Oryzias latipes: one gene and its partners. The protein of the gene in region 2 interacts with the protein of the main gene of each other region in a pairwise test. Links are inferred from orthologs where the notes say so. Each region holds a gene or a part of one and is shown on either strand. Other genes may lie near its edges. The genes, in order: sp4, foxp2, tbr1 and rpia.

What was found.
Region 1: the proteins of foxp2 (region 2) and sp4 interact in a two-hybrid assay, tested with the Homo sapiens proteins (2 studies listed by BioGRID). The link is inferred for Oryzias latipes from reciprocal best matches to the Homo sapiens genes FOXP2 and SP4.
Region 3: the proteins of foxp2 (region 2) and tbr1 interact in a two-hybrid assay, tested with the Homo sapiens proteins (2 studies listed by BioGRID and IntAct, with this or other methods). The link is inferred for Oryzias latipes from reciprocal best matches to the Homo sapiens genes FOXP2 and TBR1.
Region 4: the proteins of foxp2 (region 2) and rpia interact in a two-hybrid assay, tested with the Homo sapiens proteins (2 studies listed by BioGRID). The link is inferred for Oryzias latipes from reciprocal best matches to the Homo sapiens genes FOXP2 and RPIA.

What each region holds. Positions count from the first base shown.
Region 1 is NC_019869.2:9,694,355-9,701,081, forward strand, and holds the start of sp4 (transcription factor Sp4), read right to left. Parts: upstream 4,613-6,727; 5' UTR 3,781-4,612; coding exon 3,774-3,780; intron 3,552-3,773; coding exon 3,481-3,551; intron 2,569-3,480; coding exon 2,218-2,568; intron 2,144-2,217; coding exon 955-2,143; intron 712-954; coding exon 513-711; intron 1-512. UniProt on the Homo sapiens protein: Binds to GT and GC boxes promoters elements. Probable transcriptional activator.
Region 2 is NC_019881.2:5,140,323-5,146,403, forward strand, and holds part of foxp2 (forkhead box protein P2), read right to left. Parts: intron 5,713-6,081; coding exon 5,609-5,712; intron 5,454-5,608; coding exon 5,352-5,453; intron 3,508-5,351; coding exon 3,386-3,507; intron 2,527-3,385; coding exon 2,457-2,526; intron 1,878-2,456; coding exon 1,549-1,877; intron 1-1,548. UniProt on the Homo sapiens protein: Transcriptional repressor that may play a role in the specification and differentiation of lung epithelium. May also play a role in developing neural, gastrointestinal and cardiovascular tissues.
Region 3 is NC_019879.2:21,024,258-21,028,992, reverse strand, and holds the end of tbr1 (T-box brain protein 1), read right to left. Parts: coding exon 4,605-4,735; intron 4,517-4,604; coding exon 4,395-4,516; intron 4,207-4,394; coding exon 4,048-4,206; intron 3,736-4,047; coding exon 3,674-3,735; intron 3,146-3,673; coding exon 2,302-3,145; 3' UTR 1,602-2,301; downstream 1-1,601. UniProt on the Homo sapiens protein: Transcriptional repressor involved in multiple aspects of cortical development, including neuronal migration, laminar and areal identity, and axonal projection.
Region 4 is NC_019880.2:22,088,412-22,095,159, forward strand, and holds the start of rpia (ribose-5-phosphate isomerase), read right to left. Parts: upstream 4,308-6,748; 5' UTR 4,259-4,307; coding exon 4,094-4,258; intron 3,340-4,093; coding exon 3,279-3,339; intron 3,111-3,278; coding exon 3,055-3,110; intron 794-3,054; coding exon 734-793; intron 662-733; coding exon 597-661; intron 531-596; coding exon 462-530; intron 346-461; coding exon 204-345; intron 1-203. Other genes in the region: uncharacterized protein LOC101171122, read left to right, coding at 4,415-4,450, 4,714-4,858, 4,941-6,554, 6,671-6,748. UniProt on the Homo sapiens protein: Catalyzes the reversible conversion of ribose-5-phosphate to ribulose 5-phosphate and participates in the first step of the non-oxidative branch of the pentose phosphate pathway.

The DNA of each region.
Region 1 (6,727 bases), on a different chromosome or scaffold from region 2:
AAAGAGTGAATCTTCAAGAAAGCACACAACTTAAAGACTCACTCTAGTGAAAACATTTTCTTGTGGTATTTTCTGAAATGATGGAGGATATATATAACATAATTTAAGATTAAAATTGCACTTCTGTGGGTTTTTTTTTTTAATGCAAATTGTGAATCGGTTGCAGACGGAAAAATGCCGTTGGAAAAAGCTTCCTGCTCTGCTCCATTCTGATGGATCCACTTGCAGACAAATAGATCAATGTAGTCCAACGAACTCCAGCAACTCTGCAGAAAATGTGTTTTAGAAAACAACACAGATTTTGTTGATACTTTAAAGACCACTGGGAACACTTTTAAAATGGATCAAAAGATGATCGGAGTGGGACTTGAAATAAAACTTCAAATCCTTTAACTATTTGTCAATAACTATGAAATTGCAGAGACTAAAACGTATCCAACCCTTTAAAATGTCTATTGTACTTCTGAATTAACTGCTTTCTGGTGGTTGTTTTTCTTGTAAGCTCTCCATACCTCCCCTCTCCATCCCTGCAGTTGGGACAGGAGCAGGCGACGCGTCTGAGCCGCTTGCTGGGCTGGCCCTCCTGATCCGAGGAACTCTGAACTGAGCCGAGCTGATCTGGACTCATGGATGAACCTGAAGCCATGTTGCCGACAGTGACTGTCACAGGAGAGGACTGAACTTTGACCCCATCCTGACCCTGTGTTTGACCTAGAGGTGAATTTGAAAAGTGTGTCAACCTTTATGTGACATGCAGAAGAAAAAAAATACACTAAAAACTGCAAGAGGAGAAAATTCTAAATGTCTGAGCAGGAGGGATGTTTCTGATATTTTGCTTTAAGTGGTTAATCTGGGAACCGGCCCCAAAATTGATTCAAAAGTCCTATAAAAAACGTCAATCACTTCTGAAAAAAGTGTCTCATAGTCACACTGTTACACTTATTGTGTACTTACCCTGCAGACCGGTGATGGTGAGAGGAACCCCCTGCACCTGAACCCCAGCAGTGCCCAGTCCTGCGATGCTGACCGTTTGTACCCCTGAGCCTGGGTTGATCTGAGCTGCACTCAAAGTCAAGGGAGTGCCGCTCAGGGAGACCAACCCCCCACCCCCCACCGTCGCACCGCCTGCAACCGGGGCCAGGGTCAGCTGCTGCGGCACAGCCGCCCCGAGACCGCCCTGCAGCGACACTCCTCCAGGAAGTTGCAACGTCTGCCAGGTGATTTGCCCAGAAGGTGACAGAGTAGGAGTGCGAATGAGAACCTGGGCTGGGTTCTGGATGGCCTGGATGGGCTGCAGAGTTTGTCCTGGCGCCAACTGAAGGGTCTGAATCTGCTGAGGCTGCTGCTGGTTCTGTGGCTGACCCTGACTCTGGGCTTGGGGTTGCAACTGGATCTGCTGGACCAGCTGATGCCCAACCTGACCCACGATCACCTGCTGGATGGTTCCGACGGCGTCAGTCTGATTCTGCAGCCCGTTGGCTTGGTTTTGGTTCTGAGAATCTGCCTCGCTGCTCTGTACCTGAGCGTCAGCTGATCCTGTAGAAACCACTTGAGCCGCGTCTGACACGCCGTCGCCCTCAGCTGCCGCTGCTGTGGATCCAGTTGCAGCTGGAGCAGCTCCAGAAACAGCTGTTGTCACCAGCTGGTTGCCATTAGCAACAGAAAATGTGCCATCCGCTGATTGGATGAGCTGAACGGCTCCGCCCGCTCCAACGTTATTGATTACAGGTAAAGCCAGGGTCATGCCACCTAGGTTTATGGGTACTGTGGTCATGACAGGGGGCTGAGAGCCCTGTAGAGTCTGCAGCTGAAGTGGAAAGGACTGTGCTGGACGGATCTGCAGAGGGACGGTCTGATTGGTTGTGCTTGGGAGGATAGTCTGCTGGTTGGCCGGCTGGAGGATAGCCTGAGTCTGGCCAGAGTTGGGGTTCTGAATTAGCTGAACCTGCTCAGGCAGAGCTCCAATGGAAGCAGGCTGGGGGCTAATGTGTACTTGCTGTCCATCTGCAGTTTGCAGGTGGGGGATGACCTGATATTGGACACCGCCAGCAGCATTAGAGAGGTTTTGAACCTGGATGATCTGGTATTGCTGCTGCTGTGGCTGACCCGCGGTCACACTGTTGCTCCCACCTGCTGCTTTTAGCTGTGAAAACAGAAAACGATCAGATTACTGAAAAGTGCAAACATACCCCCTGATGCTAAAAAAAAACCATTCACCTTCCGTCCAACAGGTGAGCTGTCGTTGGCCACAGTGGTGGCCACCGATACCGCGACGGGCTGACTGGCGTTCTCCTTGGCCATGGCAGGCGCTGCTGTAATGATCTGCCAACCGTTCCCCGTGAACTGAGCTGGGATCAGTTCCAGCTGCTGGGGCATCAGAGCCTGACCCCCAGCTGCGTCCACCACTATCTGACCCTGGAGCTGACCGGCCTGCAACTGGATTTGACCCGCCTGAACCTGGATCTGTGGGGCACCCGCCTGGGCCTGGGACCCCTCTGTTCCCCCCTGCCCTCCGATCTTACTGCAGGTGGCCGCCAGCAGAGCCAAGGGCGAGGGCTGAGAGGAATCCTGGGTGAAAAACGATGAGGAGGTAAAGCGGTCATCCACGAGTGACAGAGAGTTGTTGAGCACACAAAGAACATCATGTGCTTAATAGGAGCGACACCGGATTGTTCAATATGAACCAAAATCGACTGTGAGTGGTGTCAGCAATCACAAATTATTATATAAATCCAATCGTTGTTCAAGTGAATTGTTACACCCCTAGTGCATATAAAAACACAAGGATTGCTGGGTTACACAGGCAACAATTTAAAAAATGAGGGGAAAAAACGAGAAAGCAAGGGAAAGAACTCTGAAAAAAAAAATGCTACCAGACATAGAACTGTCAGTGGAAGTGGGCGGTATTACAGGAAGCTAGTGGGAGGGCGTGTGAGAACCACATTTCTCTTTTCTCAGAACGCTTGAAGAAAATGCAACCTCCTCTCTTGCCTTTAGAAAAAACTAGGTCGCAGCAGTTTTTTTTTTTTTCTTCAATCCTGCTTAATAGGAAACAGCCTCAAATTTGTTTAAGAAAAAAAAATGTCGTTTGCAAAAGGTGAGAGTATGCTTCTGGTGAACCATCAATGACAAAAAGTAGATAATGGTATGACGGAAAAACGATCTGCATGCATGCAAAACCTGAAGATCCTGTGCTGCAAAGACATCAAAAGTATCGCTACTAAAGGATTCTGTTCATAATTGAAAATGTTTATTTAAAAAAACTACAACAGCTGGATCATGACAACCATGTAAGCGTCTATTCATGAGGGTTGGCTCTCAGCAGGGCTCTACAGAAGCAGGAAGTGAAATTCACTGGAGAAACGCCCCTAGAGGTGTCTGGCTGGCCTGCTGTGAGGGAGGAGGGGGGAACTTTTTTTTTTTTTTGGGCCAAGAGACAAAAATCAAACTAGTGAAGTGTATTAAACTGCACGACTTTACCTGTGAAGCAGAACTTTTCCCTCTTTTAGATGCTTTCCCTCCTTCAGTTCCAGATGATTCCTTCTTCGAGTCTGTTAAAAGAGAGACTTTTACTTTTAATACATTGGTAGCACGAGACAGGCAATAAAAATGCAATCTTGTGCATGAATTAGATATAGCATAACAAAGGTAATCAACAAAGACAAGAGGGAAAAGACAGTAACCTCATCATCAATACCAAAGGGGCATGGAGGCTCATTTCTGTTAGACGGATACACAGAGGGGTGGAGACGGAAAGGGGGGAGGGTACCTACCACTCATAACGCATTAATATACCGAGAGGAAGAGGGTGTAGTTCACGGTGGAAGGCCGGCCGGGTAAAGAGGCGGAGGACGCCTATATGTTCGGCTCTGAGCCGTGGCGGATCTCCTCGTTTGACGAAACCACCCACCGGCCAGGAAGGGCGGTGCCAAGCGCGAGCACAATCAAGCAGTCCCAAATAACGGAAACAACGGAGAGCCCCGCGTGACCGTCCTCGCGCCTCAAAGCTCCTCGCGGCGCAGTCGTGCGTCTCTGTTAGCGGATAGAGAGTCCATACGCGAGCAAATTGATGCCTGTCAGATCGATATCCACAGAGAAGTTGGCACTGTGTGACCGTAGAGGCCCACCCACTTCCATTTAAGCATCAGGACAACACCCTCCTCGCTGCTCCTGCCTGTCACCGCTGGTTTTCTCCCACACGACGCGGGGACGCCTCGTCGCCGGCCGCCGTGCACCGAACACAAATGGTCACCGGTTTTTGTATTTTATCAGCGTGTTCCCTTTTTTCACGGACAATTGTTGTTTTTTTAAGAGGGAGATACGAGCAGATAGCTGTGGCTTTTGTGGGCGGATACGCTCCTCCCACATATTCAGATTGGATGACGGGACTCGGCGTGCGAGGGTCGAGATGGGAGTTGTATTTTGGTGAAGCCTCGCCTTCTCGAATAAGCTAGAGCCATTTTAACTACATTTCCCATAATGCTTCAGCAGGCCTGTCTGAGAGTTGAAGCGGTAGTCATGTTGGTGTGAGAGCGACAGAAGCGGGCGGTGACTTCTGTTTTATGGGGGTTGGGCGACCGGGAAAGGGAGGTGCGCTGCGTCTGGGTCAAGTTCAATTTGGGCTCTAAAAGAGACTAATCAGCGGAATGGAAGTGTTCTTTTATTAAAAAAACAATTAAGCTAATTGATTTTTTCAATTTATTTTAGATTTTAATGAATGTTATCCACAGCTATAAAACAACCCAACAATAATACAAGAAGGAACTACGTTGTTTCTTGTGTCAACTAGTTTTCAAAAATGAATTTTCCTTTTCTTTTTTCACACGTATGTATGTATGTATGTATGTATGTATGTATGTATGTATGTATGTATGTATGTATGTATGTATGTATGTATGTATGTATGTATGTATGTATGTATGTATGTATGTATGTATGTATGTATGTATGTATGTATGTGTGTATGTGTGTATATATATATATGTGCATATATATATATATATATATGTGCACAGGTTGGTGTGTCGTGACTTGCAGTCTTGGGCGACTGTTCTGTCGACCAGGAGTTGGTGTTTGGCTCCTCTGGAGTCTCTACCAATGCTCTTCTGTGTGTTACTCATGAATTGATCCATGTGCCTGTTTATCTTGGTTGCAATGATGCCTGACATGAGCTTCCATGTTGTGGACAGACAGGTTATTGGCCGGTAGTTGGATGGGATTGCGCCCTTTGAGGGATCCTTCTGGATCAGGATCCTCTACATGGATGACATCAAGCTATATGCTAAGAGCGAGCGTGACATTGATTCCCTGATCCACACCACCAGGATCTACAGTACTGACATTGGGATGTCATTCGGGCTCGAGAAATGCAGCCGGATGGTGACAAAAAGAGGCAAGGTAGTCCACACAGGAGGGGTCTCACTCCCAGAAGGAACAATAACAGACATCGAGGACAGTTACAAGTACCTTGGAATTCCCCAGGCAAATGGCAACCTGGAGCAGGCAACAAGGAAAGCTGCAACAGCTAAATACCTCCAACGAGTAAGGCAAGTCCTGAGAAGCCCGCTCAATGGCAAAAATAAGACCCGGGCAATAAACAGCTACGCACTGCCAGTTATCAGATACCCTGCAGGAATAATAAGATGGCCAAAGGAAGAGATACAGACCACGGATGTTAAAACACGAAAGCTCCTCACCATGCATGGAGGGCTCCATCCCAAATCCAGCACCCTGAGACTGTATGCTAGCCGCAAGGAAGGAGGCCGAGGACTAGTGAGTGTAGAAGCCACTATCCAGGATGAAACATCCAAGATGCATGAGTACATCAAGCTCAAGGCCCCAACTGACAGTGTGCTCAGTGAATGTCTCAGGCAATGGAGAGCAGAGGACACAGTGCTGGAGGACAGATCATCATGGGAGGACAAACCCCTGCATGGGATGTACCACCGGACCATAACTGAAGTGGCTGATATCAAGAAGTCCTACCAATGGCTAGAAAGGGCTGGCCTACAGGACAGCACTGAAGCACTCATCCTGGCAGCTCAGGAACAAGCCCTGAGCACCAGAGCGATAGAGGCTCAGATCTACCACACCAGACAAGACCCAAGATGTAGGCTGTGCAAAGAGGCCCCTGAAACAATCCAGCACATAACTGCAGGATGTAAGATGCTGGCAGGTAAAGCATACATGGAGCGCCACAATCAAGTGGCTGGAATAATATACAGGAACATGTGTGCAGAATATGAACTGGAAACCCCAAGGTCAAAATGGGAAACACCTCCGAAGGTGGTAGAGAATGAGAAGGCAAAGATCCTGTGGGACTTGCAGATCCAGACTGATAGGATGGTAATGGCAAACCAACCAGACATTGTTGTGGTGGATAAAGAACAGAGGAAAGCCGTTGTGGTGGATGTGGCAGTGCCAAGCGATGGAAACATCAGGAAGAAGGAACATGAGAAACTGGAGAAATACCAGGGACTCAGAGAAGAACTGGAGAAAGCATGGAAAGTGAAGGTGACAGTGGTGCCTGTGGTAATTGGAGCACTCGGGGCAGTAACCCCCAAGCTGGAGGAGTGGCTACAACAGATACCTGGAAAGACCTCAGACCTCTCAGTCCAGAAGAGCGCAGTGCTAGGAACAGCTAAGATACTGCGCAGGACCCTCAAGCTCCCAGGCCTCTGGTAGAGGACCCGAGCTTGGAGGAAAAACCACCCACGGAGGGTGAGAG
Region 2 (6,081 bases):
ACTGTCTGCTTTTATTTCATGAGCTGCAAAAGCTGTCTCAACGATAACGACCTAAAGGGTTCAAATTAAGACAAATGTTTTATTTTAATTTCCCCACTACGTAGTAATTTTTGTGCGTTTCTGTGAGTGTGTTTGTACATGAGCCAAAAGAATCCTCAATCGCAAACAAACAATGGTGACAGACGAACGGAAATAGTCAACAATTTAGAAAAAGGTTCCAATTTAGATCTTGAAACAACTGACGAGGGAGACGATCCTTCTCAACCACTGAATACCAGCAGGGCTTTAGCTTTAATAATGTGTTTTTCGTTCCTATGACTACAACTCTTCCACCGATTATGCAATAAAGGTCATTCCAGTGGATTCTGAAGGAGAGAAAATCGGCTTTGCTATAATCTACAACTCGATAACGCAACGTAGCAAAGCTGGTTCCCTTCAAGTCAAAGTCAGATGATGCACTTTGATCACGAAAATGGTTAACGAGTTATGGTATGTAAAACAAAAGTGTGTTATTTGGGTGTGGCCAGTGTTAAAGGGTAAATTGGTTGAAGAGCAAAAAACCGGAGGAGACAACAGAAGAGGAGCACCATGTACTATTTTTATACTACAGGGATTCTCAACTTTGACCGTAACTTGGAGTACGATTATTTTGTAAACGGGGGAGGTGCTGAACAGGTGCGTCTGTGTGGAGGCCAACATCTGTGAGTCAGTGACTGTATATGAGGACTGGACTGATTGACACTGACATCACCCATAGAAAATGACTCACTTCACTTTTGCCAATCAGGAGTGAGCTTGTTGGAAAAATCTGACAATCGACTGTTGTATGTGAGACAACAACAACAACTATGATTGCAGCATCTGATTGGTCAGTTTATAACTTGAATGAGTTGCAGAAAAAAATATGATGAAAGAAATCTATGAAAAGGTAAGAAGATAAGATTTGCTGACAAATAGAATGACTTAAGAACAGCTGTTTATTTTTTCCATAGAAGTCTATGGGACCTTGGTGTCTTGGAACCAAGTAGGTACTTCCTTTTTGGAACGAAAGGAGGGAGGAGTCACTCACTCCAGTTCTCATATACAGTCAATGAGTGCAGCTAAAGACTTTTTTGAGGGGATTTGTACCTTTTTATTCTATCCAGACGCTTAGAATATTTGCTATAAATCATCACAGCTACTTCATCTTAATTGTTGCGATTTAGAATAAAAAAAACAACATTTACATTCGAAATAATCTTTTTTGTGTAGTTTTGTGAACTATAATGAGAAAATCTGTGGGGTTGTACTAAAAAAAACAAGGTCAAGCATTGCCACTAAAAAATGTTTTAAAGGTGAATTATTTAAGTGAAAAAAAATGATGAAAAAGGCCCCAGACGTCTGAAGGTTCAATTACTTCCCATTGGAGCAGAGAAACAGTCAAATGACTTAAACTTAAAACCTAAACACCCTAAGATTGTGGGTTAAATGTCATTTCTAGAAACACTAAGATGCTGCTTTTAGGTTTTGACGTGAATTTGTCATGGTTTTCTGGTGGCGAGGACTCACATGTGCGCAGAGGGAGAGTATCCGGGGCTGCCGTGTCCGTTGGTGTCCAGGTGGTCCAGGGTGCCGTTGAGCTCCTCGTGGCCGGTCTGCAACAAGCCGGGGGAGCTCCCGCTCAGCGTGCCTGGGGGGCTGCCGCCAAGCAAGCCAGGCGGACTTCCGCCCAACATTCCCGGTGGGCTCCCACCTAACATCCCGGGCGGACTCCCGCCGGTGAGCACGGATGGATCTCCGCCCAGAAGGCCATGGCAGCTGCCTCCCATCGGGCCGGCGGCGCTGCTCATGAGGCCCGGGTTGCCCAGCAAGGGCAGGGAAGTCTCGGCCAGTGCCGCCTGCGGCAAGAGAAGAGGGAATGTTGGGAATTAGAGGCACAGAAGTGATGAAAAGCTGAGTTTAAAAACAGGGAAACTGTAGCCCTGGGAGGAAGATGGGGTATTTGGTGACCCGGAGGCAGAAAAGTGGAGCTGCAGGAACACAGTAGTTCCTACAATCCATCCTCCTCTGGTTCTTAAGTGTCACCTTGTGGGCTGTTGTTGGTGGGCCCTCCCCCCTGTGTGAGCTGCAGCCACGTTTTCAAGAAAATGAAGTCACCCAAGGAAAAAAAACTTTGCTTCAAAATAATCAAACTCCTGACACTTTCGCCTGCTGCGCATTAAACTTATATACAGTGATTAAATTTTGAACGTTTTTTGCCATGAGCACCTCGCTGGCGCACACTGTGAAGCCAAATCATTTATGACAGCTCAGATAAATATTAATGCGCGCGCCCTCGCATTTGCACACTCCGCTATCAATCTAGGGTGACTGGGAGAGAAGCGGAGAGCTGCTGCCCGCTTCCACCACTGGGTGGCCTTCTGAGCCCGAGACTGGACTGGAGGACGTAGGAGGGGGTGGGGGGTGGAGGAGCTCACCTGTAAGCTGGCATTCAGTGCATTTCCATAACCGAGACTGGATGGCAGGTTCTTGACCAGAGACGGACTTCTAAAAAAAACAACAAAAAAAGCAAAGGAAACGAATAAAAATCCATAAATATACTTCTAAAATCTCTATTTATCTAAAAAATCAATAAATTAAAAAGCAAGTTTTTATTAATAAAATATAATTAACATATTTTCTCCACTATAAGGAGCGTGGGATTGAGCCGCATCGTCAATGAAAAGCCTAATCTTGAACTTATGCCATATATCAAAATATAAAACACATTAAGTGAGACAAAATAGACAGACAAAAGTGCGTTCACTGTTTCTACAGAACTTGTCTGTAACACGCTATATGTTAGCCACGTTAGCGTGTTTACAATGCCTGTAGTTCCTAGCCTTGTTAGCAAGCAGGGTAACAAAATTGATGCAAATAAAATAAACATTGTTTTGACAAAGCTAACTCCCAACCATGTTAGTGGCATGAAAAAAAAAAAAAAAAAACAGTTCGACATTGCTAGCCGTTAACCATGTTAGCATGTTTACAATGACACCTAACCTTGTTTGTAACACGTAAAAAACAGACTGATACCGCTAAAATAAACAATGTGACTACTTTCATTCCCGACATTGTTAGTAACATATAAAAAAAACAGTTTGAAACCGCTACACGTTAGCTGGGTTAGCATATTAACAATACCACCCAAACTTGCTAGCAACAACAACAAAAACAGATTGTACCTCTCAAAACCGCGTCGACATCACAACCAGCAGAACTTGTCCATTTATAAGGCGCGGTCATTTTTAACAAAAAAATTAAAGGCTTTTAAGTGTGTCTTATAGTGCGGAAACTACGGTTAAAATCAGAGGCTAAGCATCATCCAAAAAACTCTGCTGTGTTTCTATGGCAACCAAAGTCGTACCCTGTGATCTTCTGTGACCTGCGCTTCTGGTACTCCACCTCATCCACCGTCCACACCGCCCCCTTCACATTCTCCACGCGCACAAAGCACTTGTGCAGGCTGAGGTTGTGGCGAACTGCATTCTGTAAGAACGAACAAACAAACAAACAAACAAACAAAAACAGGGAAACAGGTCAAACGAGGCTGTCATTTGGTGGTGGTGGTGGTGGTGGTGGTGGGGGGGGCATCAGGAAATTGATTTTTGCTGTACTTTCTGAAGAAATTCTTCAAATTCACACACCGTTGACTTAATTAGTAAAAATTGAGTGAGAGCGAATGCTCTTACAAGTCCTGCGCACAGTACATATCAATCAGAGTAAGTAGGCTAAAAGGAGGTAATCAGCATAGCGAATGGCTTATGGTGGTGATAGAAGTGGTAATGCCGGCCTTGATAATGGTGATGTCAGTAACCCTTCCCGCTCCAGAAAAGCGCCATTCCTAATGGACACATTTCTTAAAAAATGACAGAAATGGAAGAGAAGAAAAAAAAAATCCCAACTGTCGCCGTGGCGAGGAGTCAGAAAGGGATGGTGGGAATTAAGCCGAACTGCATCTGACGCGCACATGTCCAAACATCCTCTGTGCGGCGCCGCATCTGCTGTAGAAACAAGCGCCTAACATGACACCCTTTGAGATTTATGAAATGTCATCCGCCAGTGATAAACAGATTTTAATAATTAGCAGGAAATGCAACTATGAAGCTGAATGACTGAATGAATCTACAAATATTAGCGGTTATTATCACTGCCTCTCGTGTTTATCATTTCTTTCTTAGGTTTGTGCAGCTCTTTCTTTAAGATTCATGGAGGAGGGAAAAAAAAACTCATAAGGAGATCTTGCATCTGACCTGAAAATCCCCAGATTTGATTGATCTTAATGCCCATGGCTCTGAATATGATAATTTTAATATTAATGAGCAAATGAGCAGTTTTATTATGCATGCTATATAGTTAGAACTAATAAGCTTCTGGGTGAGAGGAGGAAAAAAAAGGGGGAGAGAAAAAAAAAGTGGGTTTGGGCATGGGGAGAGGGGGGGGGGGTCTCTTTTGAGCTGATGAGACCAAGCTGAGATATTAAACTACCTTTCATATTTTTTACACTTTATATCTGCTGGTCACATGACGAGTGCTTAGCTGATCATATTGTGGATGTAAACACATCAGCTGGAAGACAAAGGGTCGCTGTGACCCAATGAGCCCCCACCTCCTGCAAACGGCCGGTAAAAGAGCACCCATCTCCCCTGAATTCGGCGGTGGCGCGGGCCCTGCGCTTATTTGCATCCCAAATCCAAATTAATTCACTTCGCCAAATCTAGCGCCGCGACGTGTCTTGCATGCTAATGAACGGCGGCGCTTTTTTTCTCTCTCCCCTACAGTCATCTGTGACATCACAAAGGCTAAAAGTGGCAAACAGGGGGGGGGGGGCACAGATCAATCACCAAGGTCTCATGACCAAAACACGTGCTTGTGTTTATTTTTTAAGAGGCATCTCTGTGCCCTGTAACAGGAACAATAAAGTTATAAACACCTATTTGGCCCCCCTATCACCTCCTCTTGCTCCTGCTTGGATGTGAGCGTGGAAGTTGTGCCCTTAGAGCTGGTTAACAGCCATCTTGGCTACCGACTAACCAATGATCTGTCAGACAAAGCTGGATCTGGGGAGAGGGAGGGGTGGCGGCTGCCGGATCTCTTAACAAAAGCTGCTGATGATGGAGGAGCTGCTGTATAATTAGCGCGTCACGGCTCCCTCCTCTGCACGCTAACGCGCCGCTATTAATTGCAGCAAATTAGAAAACGATATGTGAAGGAGGGAAGGGGGGGGGTGGTCATCCAGCTGTCATTTCTAAACAAAAAAAAGGTGGAAAAACAAACAAAAAAATAATAATAATTTGGGTTCTGAAGTGGAGGAAAAGCTCGGTGACACCCACCTTCCAAGTGGCGGCGTTGCGTCTGAAGTAAGCGAAGGTGCGCGTGAACCAGCTGTAGATCTCGTTGAGCGTTAGCTGCATGTCAGCAGAGTCCATGATTGCCTGTGAGGAGAAAGGACATCCAATGAGGGTTTCGCTAAACCAGAGCGCCACGCCGCCGCCGCCGCACACACGCCGACAGCCTCACAGGGCTGCCGTGATTCATGCTGCAATTAATTCAAATCTAATCAGGCAAAGTTAATTTATTTCCCACTCACCTGTCTTATGAGGGTTGCATAAGTGAACGGCGGCCTGACATCTGCATTCTTATAAAACTCGTAGTTTGGGGCGATCTCTGGAAAAATAAATACTGTGTCACCACCTGAAATAATTGGTAAAGTTGAGTCCTTTAGGTTGTGAATTTCCTCCAGGTTTCATCAAATTAAAACACAGATGGAAAAAAATAAAAAGGGGGGGGGGGCATTGGAGAAGAGACAACGAATCAGCAGTTTTTTTTTTTTTACATCTTCAAAATCCATTTTTAATTAATCTCTCTCTGGAGACGTTCTAAACATCCACAAAAACCACCAGATCTGTGTAGTTAGCTGGATGGAAGCTGAATAATTTATGCTTTGCGCTAAACATACGGAGTAAATAAACATTAAAGACAGACTAAATGCTAAATTTAACACACAACATGGAATAAACAGATAACTTTATTAAGATTCATGCAACATTCATGCAGCGAGGG
Region 3 (4,735 bases), on a different chromosome or scaffold from region 2:
GTTCAGAGACGTTTCATGCTGTTCTCACAGGTAAAACAAAATCACAAAAAAAGCTTTTAGTTTTGCTCCCCTCCATAATAAAATGAACTCAAACTGAAGCTTTATTTGGAGAAGTACTGGAGGCTTAGTAAAAGAGTCATCTGGCTGTAACACTTTCAACTGTCCATTTGTGCACTTTTATTTTCGGTCTTGACCTTGTTGGTTTCTGTGTTTTCAGTATTTTGGAACCTGTTTGGACGTTTTTACGTCTTTTGGAATGACTTTTTATGAAATAGTTGAAGTGTGCTGCTGAAAAGGGATTTGTGATGTCACCAAGGTTCTCTGTTTCTTTTTGTATTCAGATTTTAAATCTGCATTTTTTTCCAAGGCTTAACAAGAATTATTAAGATTTCAGTGACAGCATCTATGACTTAATGAAAAGTGTTACTTTTTTTGCATATCTACTACATGTTAAGTATATTGAAATGTATATACAGTTATAGAATTTATTTTGTCAAAATCTGAATATCGTTTATTGGCATTGTATGCACAACAAAAATAGTGCTCTCCAGGTGTTTAAAAATATAAGTCTAGGTTGAAAATAAAAATATTTTTAAACATAAAATTTAACTTAAAATAATCTAAGAATATGTAGGTTGAAAAAATACATCTATTGCATTTTTTTGTTGGTAGGTTGACAGAAACACCATAGAAACACATTTGTTTTTAAATACTTGATGAAAATTATTTGGTATATATTCACCAAGGGAATTTGAGATCAACAGGAGATTACATTTTTGATCATAAAGTATGTTATATGTTTTTGTATTAAAAAAACTATTTTCACCATATTTTTCTGTATTATACATGATGGGTTGTACTGCCTGTGTCTATTTTAATTGAGCTGCAGGCTGGACTTGCCTCAAAAGATACATAAGATTTTATTCACGAATTTTTTTTTAATTGTTTGTTTTTGTTTTTTACTTTTAAAATGTTTATTCTGCATCCAAGTGAACGTTTGGATGTTCCGCACGCGCACTGAATCTCGTGGCAGTTAGTGAAATGTCGCCATCTAGTGTACATTGCAGACGCTGCACTATACAATCCAAAGGTAACATCAATTAAAAATGAATCCGTCTCTGATCCCACCATTGATGAAAGCTGTCTGATTAAAGCTTACAGTTGTCGCCATCTGATGTTTGTATCTGGAAAGGCTTCATAATAATAATAAGGAGCATAAACCGCAGCGAGGCCTCTTAAAGGGTTTTTCTTCACTGACAGCTGCAGGGGTTTTGTTCACGTGGTGTGCGCGTGGAGCGCATCCAGCCAATTTGCATCCCTTGACATAGATCGTATGTGTTACTTTATTTTTATGTGAGAAAAAAATACACTTTTATGTATTTCGTGTTTTCATATTTCTTGAATAATAAAAAAACGATGAAATGTTAGTTACATTATGTAAATATAAATATGTGATATTGTTTATAATGAGTTGCTGTATTGTACTTAGCGCTAAATTTCAAGAATAAGTCTGCGCATGACAGGAAAATGTCAAAATAAAAGAATTTTTGCAATTTAGGTATATAAAGTTAAAGGAAAAAAATCTGTTTGATCCATTTAAATCCAGTAAAGCGTGCCCTGATGGGGAACACTGTTTATTAAGTTTCATCCACATCACAGCACATACAGAGATTTTCCACAACGTCATGTACAAGCAAATAAACTCAAATGAAGCAGAGACCCTGCATGTCTACAAACACTGACAAACTTCTTTAACCACATGAAGGAAGGAGATCGTCGCTTAAACTTCCTGCAGCTTCACCCGCAGCTTTGATAGAATTAAGAAATACATTTCCCCCAAAACTGACGTGTCAGTTTCTGCTACACAAAAAAACCATTTCATGTACAGATTCCTAAACATTTCAGATACTAACAGGCTACTTCAAACAGGAGAACAGTTGGCTCTGTCAGACACCATAGGGGATCATATTTGTTTCTTATTTTGTGGACATCCAGTCACTATCACAAATGCCAAATATTATTATTTATATACATTATATCCATAATTACAACAAATCTTAACAGTTTATGTCATAACCAAAAAATGTACACTTTGGATGTAATGATGGAACGGTCAGATAGATAGATAGATAGATAGATAGATAGATAGATAGATAGATAGATAGATAGATAGATAGATAGATAGATAGATAGATAGATAGATAGATAGATAGATAGATAGATAGATAGATAGATAGATAGATAGATAGATAGATAGATAGATAGATAGATAGATAGATAGATAGATAGATAGATAGATTCCTAACTATGAGAGTAGAAACTGTAATAACCGATGTCCTTTGTACAGTTTTTGTCACACTCCCTCGGTGCCAGCAGCTCAGACTTTAACGGGGACACAGTCTCTGAAACCGGCGTGGCAGTGGGGGAGATTCTCCTCCGTTTGGCCTGTTCAAAGATCCCAGAATCGCTGGAATCGATGGATTTGATGGAGGAGGGCGTCTCTATCCAGCTAGACTCAGATGTGATGTCTTTGGCTTTGCTCTCCTCTGCGCCACCGATCGGTGACCTCTCCGTGCTGATGGAGTCCCCCTCCTCCTGCAGGTAGCTGGTGCCTGAGCGGCCCCCGATGGTGTTCGCGGGCCAGCAGGAAAAGACCGAGCTGGCTTTGCTGTTGACGCCGCAGTAGTGCGGCGGCGTGCGTCCTCCCCAGCCAGACGGGTCTGCGTAATAGCCAAGAGGCCGGTTGGAGCAGCTCGCAGTCGGCAGGGGGAGAGCCTTCACTCCGGCCGCTGCGTAGGACAGCAAGGTGGCCGCGTTACCGGCGAAATCAGCGGCGTCGTATGCCGAGGCTGCAAAGTCCAGTCGGTTGTTGGCAGGGGTGACAAACCATCGCTGCGGGGGGGTGGCAACAGTGGGCTCCTCGGCTTGCTGAGGAGACAGCAAGCTGTTGCCGAGTGGAACGTTGCGCTCCGTGCCAGGAGCAGTCCCCACGCCAGGGTGAAAGCGAGATTTGGCATAAGTGCTGACAAATTGGTCCTGCAGGAAAGAGCTAGGCATGGCATATCTCGCACCCGGCACGATCTGTGAACGCGGAGAGTCACCCGGTGATGGAGTTAGGCGGTCAATGTCGCAGCCTGTGTAGACACTGAAAAGATGGAGGAGAAAACAGAAACGGTTCAGGCGCTGAATGTGGACGGTGGCGAGTTGATATAAAAAAATAAAGGCCTTATATTAAAAAAAATAAAAATAAAACAAAACAAAAAAATCAATCAGCTGTTTCTGAAGATTGGATTAGATTTAAAGTGGAGGCCGTTTAATAGACTTCCAGTTTTACGCAGATAAAAACTGGCTTTCTCAAAAAGAATCTCTAAAAATAAATGTGTTTTGTTGCATTTTTTATCTATGTTATAATTACACGGTAATTTCAGAATATTATTATGACGTTCGTTAATGTGCACATTACAGAGAAAGAACCATGCAACAGGCATTTTACGCATTTGTTCTTTATATTTATGGTGTAAAAAATGGTTAAACACTCCAACAAAAATAAAATATCAATGAACATATTTATATATATATGAAATTTCCTATTATTTAAGTTTCTGTTTTTATGTATCAATATGCAGGCTTATTAAAAGAAAGCAAAAAATGCAAATAATTAAATAAATCTTACGTGTCATAATTGTCCCGAAATCCTTTGGCAAAGGGATTGTGGTCGATTTTTAGTTGTGTGATCTGTGGAAGACAAAAGCATTAATTCAATTTAAAAATAATGTTAGGTGCTAATATATTTACTGCAACAACATTGCTGTAAAAAATAAAAAATGATAATGGTAATTCAAAAAATCTGACAACGATCAGTTTAATTTAAGTGGTGATAACTCAAACAATTTTACTTATTTGTATTTATTTGTATAGAGTTAAATCAGTGGCATGCAACAATTGGGGTTTAATTTTTAAGGAGATTTCTTATTTTGTTTTGTAAGCGTTTATTTTATATATTTATTTATATTTGCGTGCGCTTGAGGTGCGGCGTTGGACCCTCACATCGGTGTTCTGGTACGCTGTAACGGCGATGAACTGCGTCTCCGAGAAGGTGAAAGTCTGCACTCTTCCTGGCTGGCTGGTGTCTTCTGTCCCGTCCTCGTTTACTTCCACCACATGGAGCCTTGGCTGGTACTTGTGGAGGGACTGCAGAACCACCATCTGCAGTTTCAAAGTAAGAAGCGCGCGCGTAAAACTAACTTTTGAAGTTTAAAAAAAAAATGAAGAAGGCGCAAAAGCCACAGCTTTCTTTGTGCGCTGAGAACGACGCAAAGATCCAGATCCAGAAAAAAAAACATAAAAATGAAGAAAACAAATCAACTTTTTTAATTAAAAAAATGTTAAATTACCTGCCCGGTGTTGTTGGAGGCACCTTTGTTGTTTGTGAGCTTTAGCTTTCCGAACGAGATTTCTTGACGCATCCAATGCGCACCAGTATTTGGAGAGTCTGGATGCATGTAAACCCTGTTGCCTGGAAAAACAGACGAGGAAAAAAGTTATAAAAAATCATTAAAAGCATGAATGTTTAATTAACAGGAACAGTAAAAAAATAATCGTACCTATCACGTTTGTGTCTGCTTTTCCACATGGCACCCATTTTCCACCTTGAAAGCGCCAGTGATTTGGATCAGCAAGTATTACATCCACAAAAATATTGTAGTGAGCAGTTGGATCCAGGCCAGAAATATTA
Region 4 (6,748 bases), on a different chromosome or scaffold from region 2:
AGGGCGGGAATACAGACAGCCTCAGTGTCACCAAGACAGCTTCATCGAGGTTTCTGTACCTAAACATAAAAACGAGTTTGAAAATGAAACACGCGGCAGGAAAGCACCTACAGGTGCAGCTGAACAGCTCCTGGAAAGCTGCTGTGATACGTGAAGAGCACGAGAAGAGCCAACAGGTGCAGATGTCAGCATCAACCACTCACAGCTTTACTGACAGCCATCCTCAGGTTGACTTCCCCTCCGAAGCGCCTGGCGATTACCCTGGAGATGGGAACCCACGCCATGGGGATCACCTCGATGGGAATTCCTTTCCTCCACTGCTGGCCCAGAGCCTCAGAGTCTTTCCTGGAAAAAAGCAGGGATTTCAAATCTGGACATCTTCCCACCTTTCAGCAGAACCAAACTCTGTTAGAAATACTTCTGCTCTCTTCTCAATACTTCTGCATGAAAATGATGCTCACCTGTAATCAGCAATCACAACAAAACTTTTTGCACAGCCGGCGACGATCTTCTCTTGCGTCAGACAACCGCTGTAGCACAGAGACGGCCAGTGAGTTGATGTTTGAATCCAGGGATGTGCTCTGCACTGAACTCACCCTCCACCTTTGATCAGCGTCAGGTCTGCGTCCACCTCATCCGCCCCGTCGATCGCCACGTCCAGCTGCACAGCAAAAGCAGAGCGCAGATCAGACTAAGGCTTCCTTCACTAAAGCAGAGGGCTTTCCCCACCAACCTCTGGGTGTCGGTCCAGATCCGACAGCGCCAGGCCGTGCTGCAGAATCAGCTGCCGGGCCTGCAGGAGGAAGACAACAGCGTTGGACGGGGTAGGCCGCATTGTAACCAATAAAGCGTTACAGCTATTTTTTAAACTTTATTAACAAATATTGCACATACAAAATACCAAACATTGATACTCCACGCTATGTGCAAAAGGCAAATGCCAAAAAGACACAATAACAGCTATATAAAACCTATTAAGCAAAGAATTACAATAAAGGCAAAGGAATCTGAAAAGAGACCATGTTTCAACTGTTCTAACAGCTTTTTGTTAGTGCAGGATTGAATACCATTTACATACAGAATCATTTTTTTCTGGAAAACATAAAAAACAGGTTTTGCTATTGGCATATTTACACTTGTGTATGAAATATTGAGCGTTACACGTATGTTCTGCAAGCATGACAGCTCACTTAGTCTGCAGAAAAAACATGTATGCTAACTTCAACGAGCAGAGATGAAGCCTGCAGCCAGCAGGGAGGAGCTTCTTCCAAGAGGCAGAAGAAAAAAAGAAGCTTGTTGTGTAATATTTATAAGCGCATGTAACGCGTAGAGCACCCCCCCACCCCCTGTAACTTCTGTTTGCGTCTCTGTAGCGCTTGGTTTCGGCTGATGGGGCAGTGGAACACGCGTCAGCTTTCAGCAGGATCCAGACAGACCTGCAGAATAAAGCTGCTGGACTCACTGCAGCATCAAAGCTTAAAAAAAAGGGTCGGTTTGAAGACGGCGCTGATGTTAAACCCTGATGCTAACATGCTACGATCATGCTATGCTAACGAGCTGTTCCGAGTGTCGCCAGACTGGGACCACAAACTGGTTTAAAGTGACACAATATTTACACAGAGCGGACTTTAAGACGGGGAGGATGAACTGTATTTTCTAAACACAATAACAGACGTGAATGAAACTTTATTAGCAACATCTAACATTACAGAGCCGCAGAATTAGGAAAAAGATACATTTTCTTTCAATCTGCTGCCCTTTAGTGAATCTGTCCATGTTTTATTTTTAAAGATGTGTTCATCCTATTTATAGATTTCTTTAAGGTCATTTTATTTTCTGACAGATTAGAAATCACTTTGAACAGTTGTTTCCATGTTGTGACGTCCTCTCTGTCTGCACTCCTCCTTGTTTTTAATTGACACCGATAGTTTTTCTGTGTAGTGTAACAATTTGTCCACACACAGCAAAATTGGTTTGAAGGTTGTAGCTGACAAAAGTGGGAGGACGACACATTTGTTTGAACACCTGAAACAAACTCTGTTCAGAGAGAAGCGTTTCTCTTCATCAGACGCTCCAGCTGTCTGCAGCTCCCAAAAATGGATCTGCAGACATTTCTACAGCTTTTGTGTTTAGCTGAACTTTGTGCTGGAGCCTACTTTTTAAAGGTGATGTTAAAATTAAGTAGTTTTTGTTGAATATATCCCATCATTTGTAATTTTTGTTAAAGAAATTAAAAGGACGGAGAAAAAAAAAAGTGTTATGGAGTGAAAAAAAGATTTTATTTTTTTGGCCACATGGCCCAGGTCTAATCTGTGTGTAGAAAAGTCATTTAAATAAACAACCAGAAAACACAGAAGTAGAAGTTAAATAAGAAGAAATAGATCTTTTTTTGGGGTGGAGTTATGAAGAAACAAGAAACTATTTTTTGTTCTTTTTATTTATATTTTACATTTGATGTTCAGAGTTTGTAATTAAATTTGTAATTTGTTTGGTTCAAACTGTTTTGTTTTGTTGCATTTCTGGCTGCGCTTTAATGTGAGACACGCATCAGGTTGCAGTGTTTTACATTTGTTTCTTCAGTAACCAGGTAAGTAAACTTAAACTGAAGTGTCACTGGGTAATTAAAAGGAGTCAGAGTAGGAGCAGCAGGTTTGAAGAGCCAGATTCAAACACTTCTACAGGAGAAGCTATCTTTAGTGAATTCTTTGCCCAAACCCACAAAGGGTGCAGCATCTGCAGATGATGATCAGCTGAGGTCAGCGTTGAAGGGTGAGAAACCATGAGTTCGTGTGGACATTGATTCTGTTTTGCAGTTTCCCCCCCAAAAAAAATCGAGCAGAAAGCAAAGCAGGACTTTGCACTGAAATGTTGCATTTAGCAAAGATCTGAGAGGTCTGTAGCAACACATGCAAAGAATGTGCTAACTGTCGTAGTGCAACGCGCCAGTTTCCTGATTTCACAAACACAAATGGTCCGAGTGGAGGAACTTGAGAAAATAAACTCGCAGCAAAAAGAAAAGCGATGAAAGCGGATCACAACAGCACATCCACTCACCTGGAAGGAGGTGGGAACACACACAATGTTGAGTTTTTCCTGCATCACTCTCTCCGCTGCAACAGAGACAAAACGGAGGCCACATAAACACTGGACCCATGAACGCCAAGTGGTCAGTTCTGCTCTTTGACTGCAGTCACAGCTGCTGGAATGGAACCATCACCAGCGGCTGCAAGCAGGCTCCTCCCACTGGACACAGACATGAACAGTTCAACGGCGCTCACCCAGTCGGTCCACGGCGTACACAATGGTTGATCCACTGCCCACTCCAACCACCTGGTTGTTCTACAGAAAACAAGGAGGCGTGGTGTCTGAATCCATTCAGCTCACAAGATCACAATCCAGTTTGATTTTTAATTTAAATCCCATTCATCAGGTTTCAGTATGATATTCATGTTTCAATAAATGGTAAAGTCACATGAACATTTTAAAAACAGAAAAGCTAGTGATTTACAACTGTAATAATGTCTTTCAGACACACATCAAGGCAACATTTAGGAGCAATGTTGGCTGGAAAAGACGCTTCAAGAAGCTGCAGAGAGTGAAATTTTTCATAAAAACACATTTTATCTATATATAAAAATCTATAATTAACATGAAAGTCCAAGCAAAACAAAAATAACATTGATACTGTTTTTATTGAAATTAAAATAGGTGTTTAGGTTCACCTTTCACCTGAGGGTCGCTTTTCTGGCCCACGGGGGCTCCCGTTCCCGGTCGGAGGAGCTGACCTCTGACCCCCCACACTTATGGCTAACAACACCGTTAATTCCAGCCTAGACTAACTTCTACACCGCTCATGCCCCTGTTTTCCTTTTCACCCTAAATGTTTCCTAGCTGCAGCACCATAGTGCGGTTCAAAGCGGGACAAGCCCGCGCAAAGCCGCGCTAAGTCGCTTTAAAGTATTTAGATAATGTTGTACTTGCTAACTTTGCCGCGCGCCGGAACTACTAGCTGAACGGCCGTGACGTCGTCTCAAACTCTCCTGCTGCAGGACTCGAACGGACGCGTTCGCTCAGAGGACAGCGACTAGGGTACCTGGACGTGGTTGTCCACGGCGGCGTAGGCGGCCAGCTTCTTCGCCTCCTCTGCCATGCCAGCATCAGACTCGCGGGAGCAGCGCACGTGCCGGTGACTGGAGAGCGCGAGGAGCTTCCGCGAGGGTGGAGCGCAGAGGAGTGGTACGAACCCTGGTAGCCTCATGACACCCCCCTCCCGCAAGCGCAAGAGAGCCTCCCCAAGACGACTACCCCTCGCTGCAGTGGGCAGTGTGCCTCGACGTGGGCGGGGCTAAACGCGTTGGGCTCCGCCCACAGAACGTGATTCCATTTCTTCTTCTTCGCTGCAGTCAGATTGTCCATGTGCAGCGACACAACACGGAACTGCAAGATGGAGGTACGCATCAACAAACAAACGGGCATTCATGACAATAAGACACATTTTCGCCTCACGGATGAGGCTGTTATTTGTATTTTTGCTTTTTTCTGTCGTAATATCCACGTAGTTCAGGTTTCACACGGAACTACAAGTTAGAATTGCGGCTCTACTCCTCGGGACTTTCGTAATCATCATGATGATGTTCAACTTTTTTGTGTCTTCCAATCAATGTAGGTGAAACTTTCCGGTTTTTTCCACCTGTATTTTTCCTCTCTTTACAGAGACACGTTACAGTCTTATTGGGCAATGAAAAACCAACGCCGAAAACCCTAAACGGTTCTTCCCACTGTCCGTTCTGCCGCTACAAGGGCGCAGAGCATGCTGTGAGACACCACATGGAAAACCATTCGTCCGTCAAACACAAAGGTACAGTCTGGGTTCTGAATGGAAACTGTCAGTCACAAGTCACAAGTCATGAAGTATGTTCTTCCCATCATTCCTCTTTTAGGATTCACAGTCATCAAGTGTGGTTTAGGTTGCCGGACTGCGTCACACTTTCACTGTTGCCATTGTCCGGCAACATTGGTCAACAGGTCACAGTTTTTCAAACATTTGGGAGCGCACCACGTAGGAAATCCTCCATGGCTGCTAGAGGTCAAACCAGAGCCCCCACCGCAGCTCCCACTGGCCCCACCACAACTCCCAGAGCCCTCATCGCAGCCCCCACTGGCCCCACCACAGCTCCCAGAGCCTTCATCGCAGCCCCCACTGGCCCCACCACAACTCCCAGAGCCCTCATCGCAGCCCCCACTGGCCCCACCACAACTCCCAGAGCCCTCATCGCAGCCCCCACTGGCCCCATCACAGCTCCCGCTGGCCCCACCGCAGATCCCACTGTCCCTATCACAGCTCCCAGACCCCTCCTCGCAGTCCCCGCTGGCCCCATCGCAGTCCCCGCTGGCCCCATCGCAGCTCCCAGAGCCCCCATCGCAGTCCCCACTGTCCCCACCTCAGCCCCCATTGCAGCAACCAGCACAGCTTCTATGGCAGCAAACCCCGGCCCCACCACATCCCTCAGAGCGCCCCCAGCAGCAAAAAAACCCAAAGGAAATGTGTCGGACGCAGACAATTCTTTGTCATCTCTGCGGTTTGAATTTAAAAAAAAAAAACTTCAAAACACACTGCAAGAGGAAGCACAAGCAGTATTTTGAGACAGTTTCCATGGAAAGATTTCTATCCAGCCAGTGTGTGGATGAAAAAAATGGCGTGTTTGCTGTTCAGGAATCCTTCTGTGGTTCAGCAAAGCCTGTGCATGTTGTGAAGAAATTCTGGGGGGCGAGTCCCGTCACTGTGTGTGAGGTGGACCAGTGCCGGCTCAACGGGGACTTTGCCCACACAAGTGGGATGCCGCCCTACGAATGCCACCACGTCAGATCTCTACTGTACTGCCCACGAGCCGACAACCAGCATGTCACTCTATCTGAGGAGGCATTGGAGACGATGGTAGAGCAGAAATGGTTTGGGGAAGAGCAGAAGGCCAGTCTGTTGCAATGTAAAAGGAAGGCAGATGCGGAGGAGGTGCCCCTTTCTGTGCAGCTGACTGTGGGCGGCCCACCATCCAAAATCCATATCTCTGTCTATGAGCCAGAAATCACATGTGATAGTCGTGTGGGCCGATTGATAGTTGCGTATGACAGAAAACAGAACAGCTGGCATTGTTCGTGCTCAATAGTAACACAGTCCTGCAACCATAAAGCCATTGCGAAGTGGCACCTCTTTGTCACAAATGGGGAGTTGTTTCAGAAAGCGTCGGTTACGGAAGCTGAGTCACCTGACCCGCCCCAGGACGCCGGAGAAGATTCAAGCCCCCGCACATTCAGTTGCCCTCCATATGACGAGTCCACTCTCAAAATGCTGAACTACCTTTTGAAGTACAAAAAGCTTCCAGGAGAACTCCCCAAGGCTCTCATTGAGCAGTCCAAAAATGGGAGAACACAGGACAGCTTTCCGAAATGCCTAATCCCAGCAGAAACGACATGTGTGGAGTGTGAGTACCCACTTGGTGGGCAACAAATAATAACCTCCGAAGCCAGGATCCTGACCAGCACAGGTGTGGTTGAAGGTTAGTACAGGTCCAACCATCACCATCTTGGGTGTGTTTCTTGAGTCACACAAATGATTATGTAATCAATTTGGAATGACATATAACCAACAACAATGGTTTATTGTTGTTTTTAGGCATATCAACATACAGGAAGTCATGCCTCAAGTGTGGCATGATATATCGATACCAGGAGTGGGAGGACGGCGTCCACA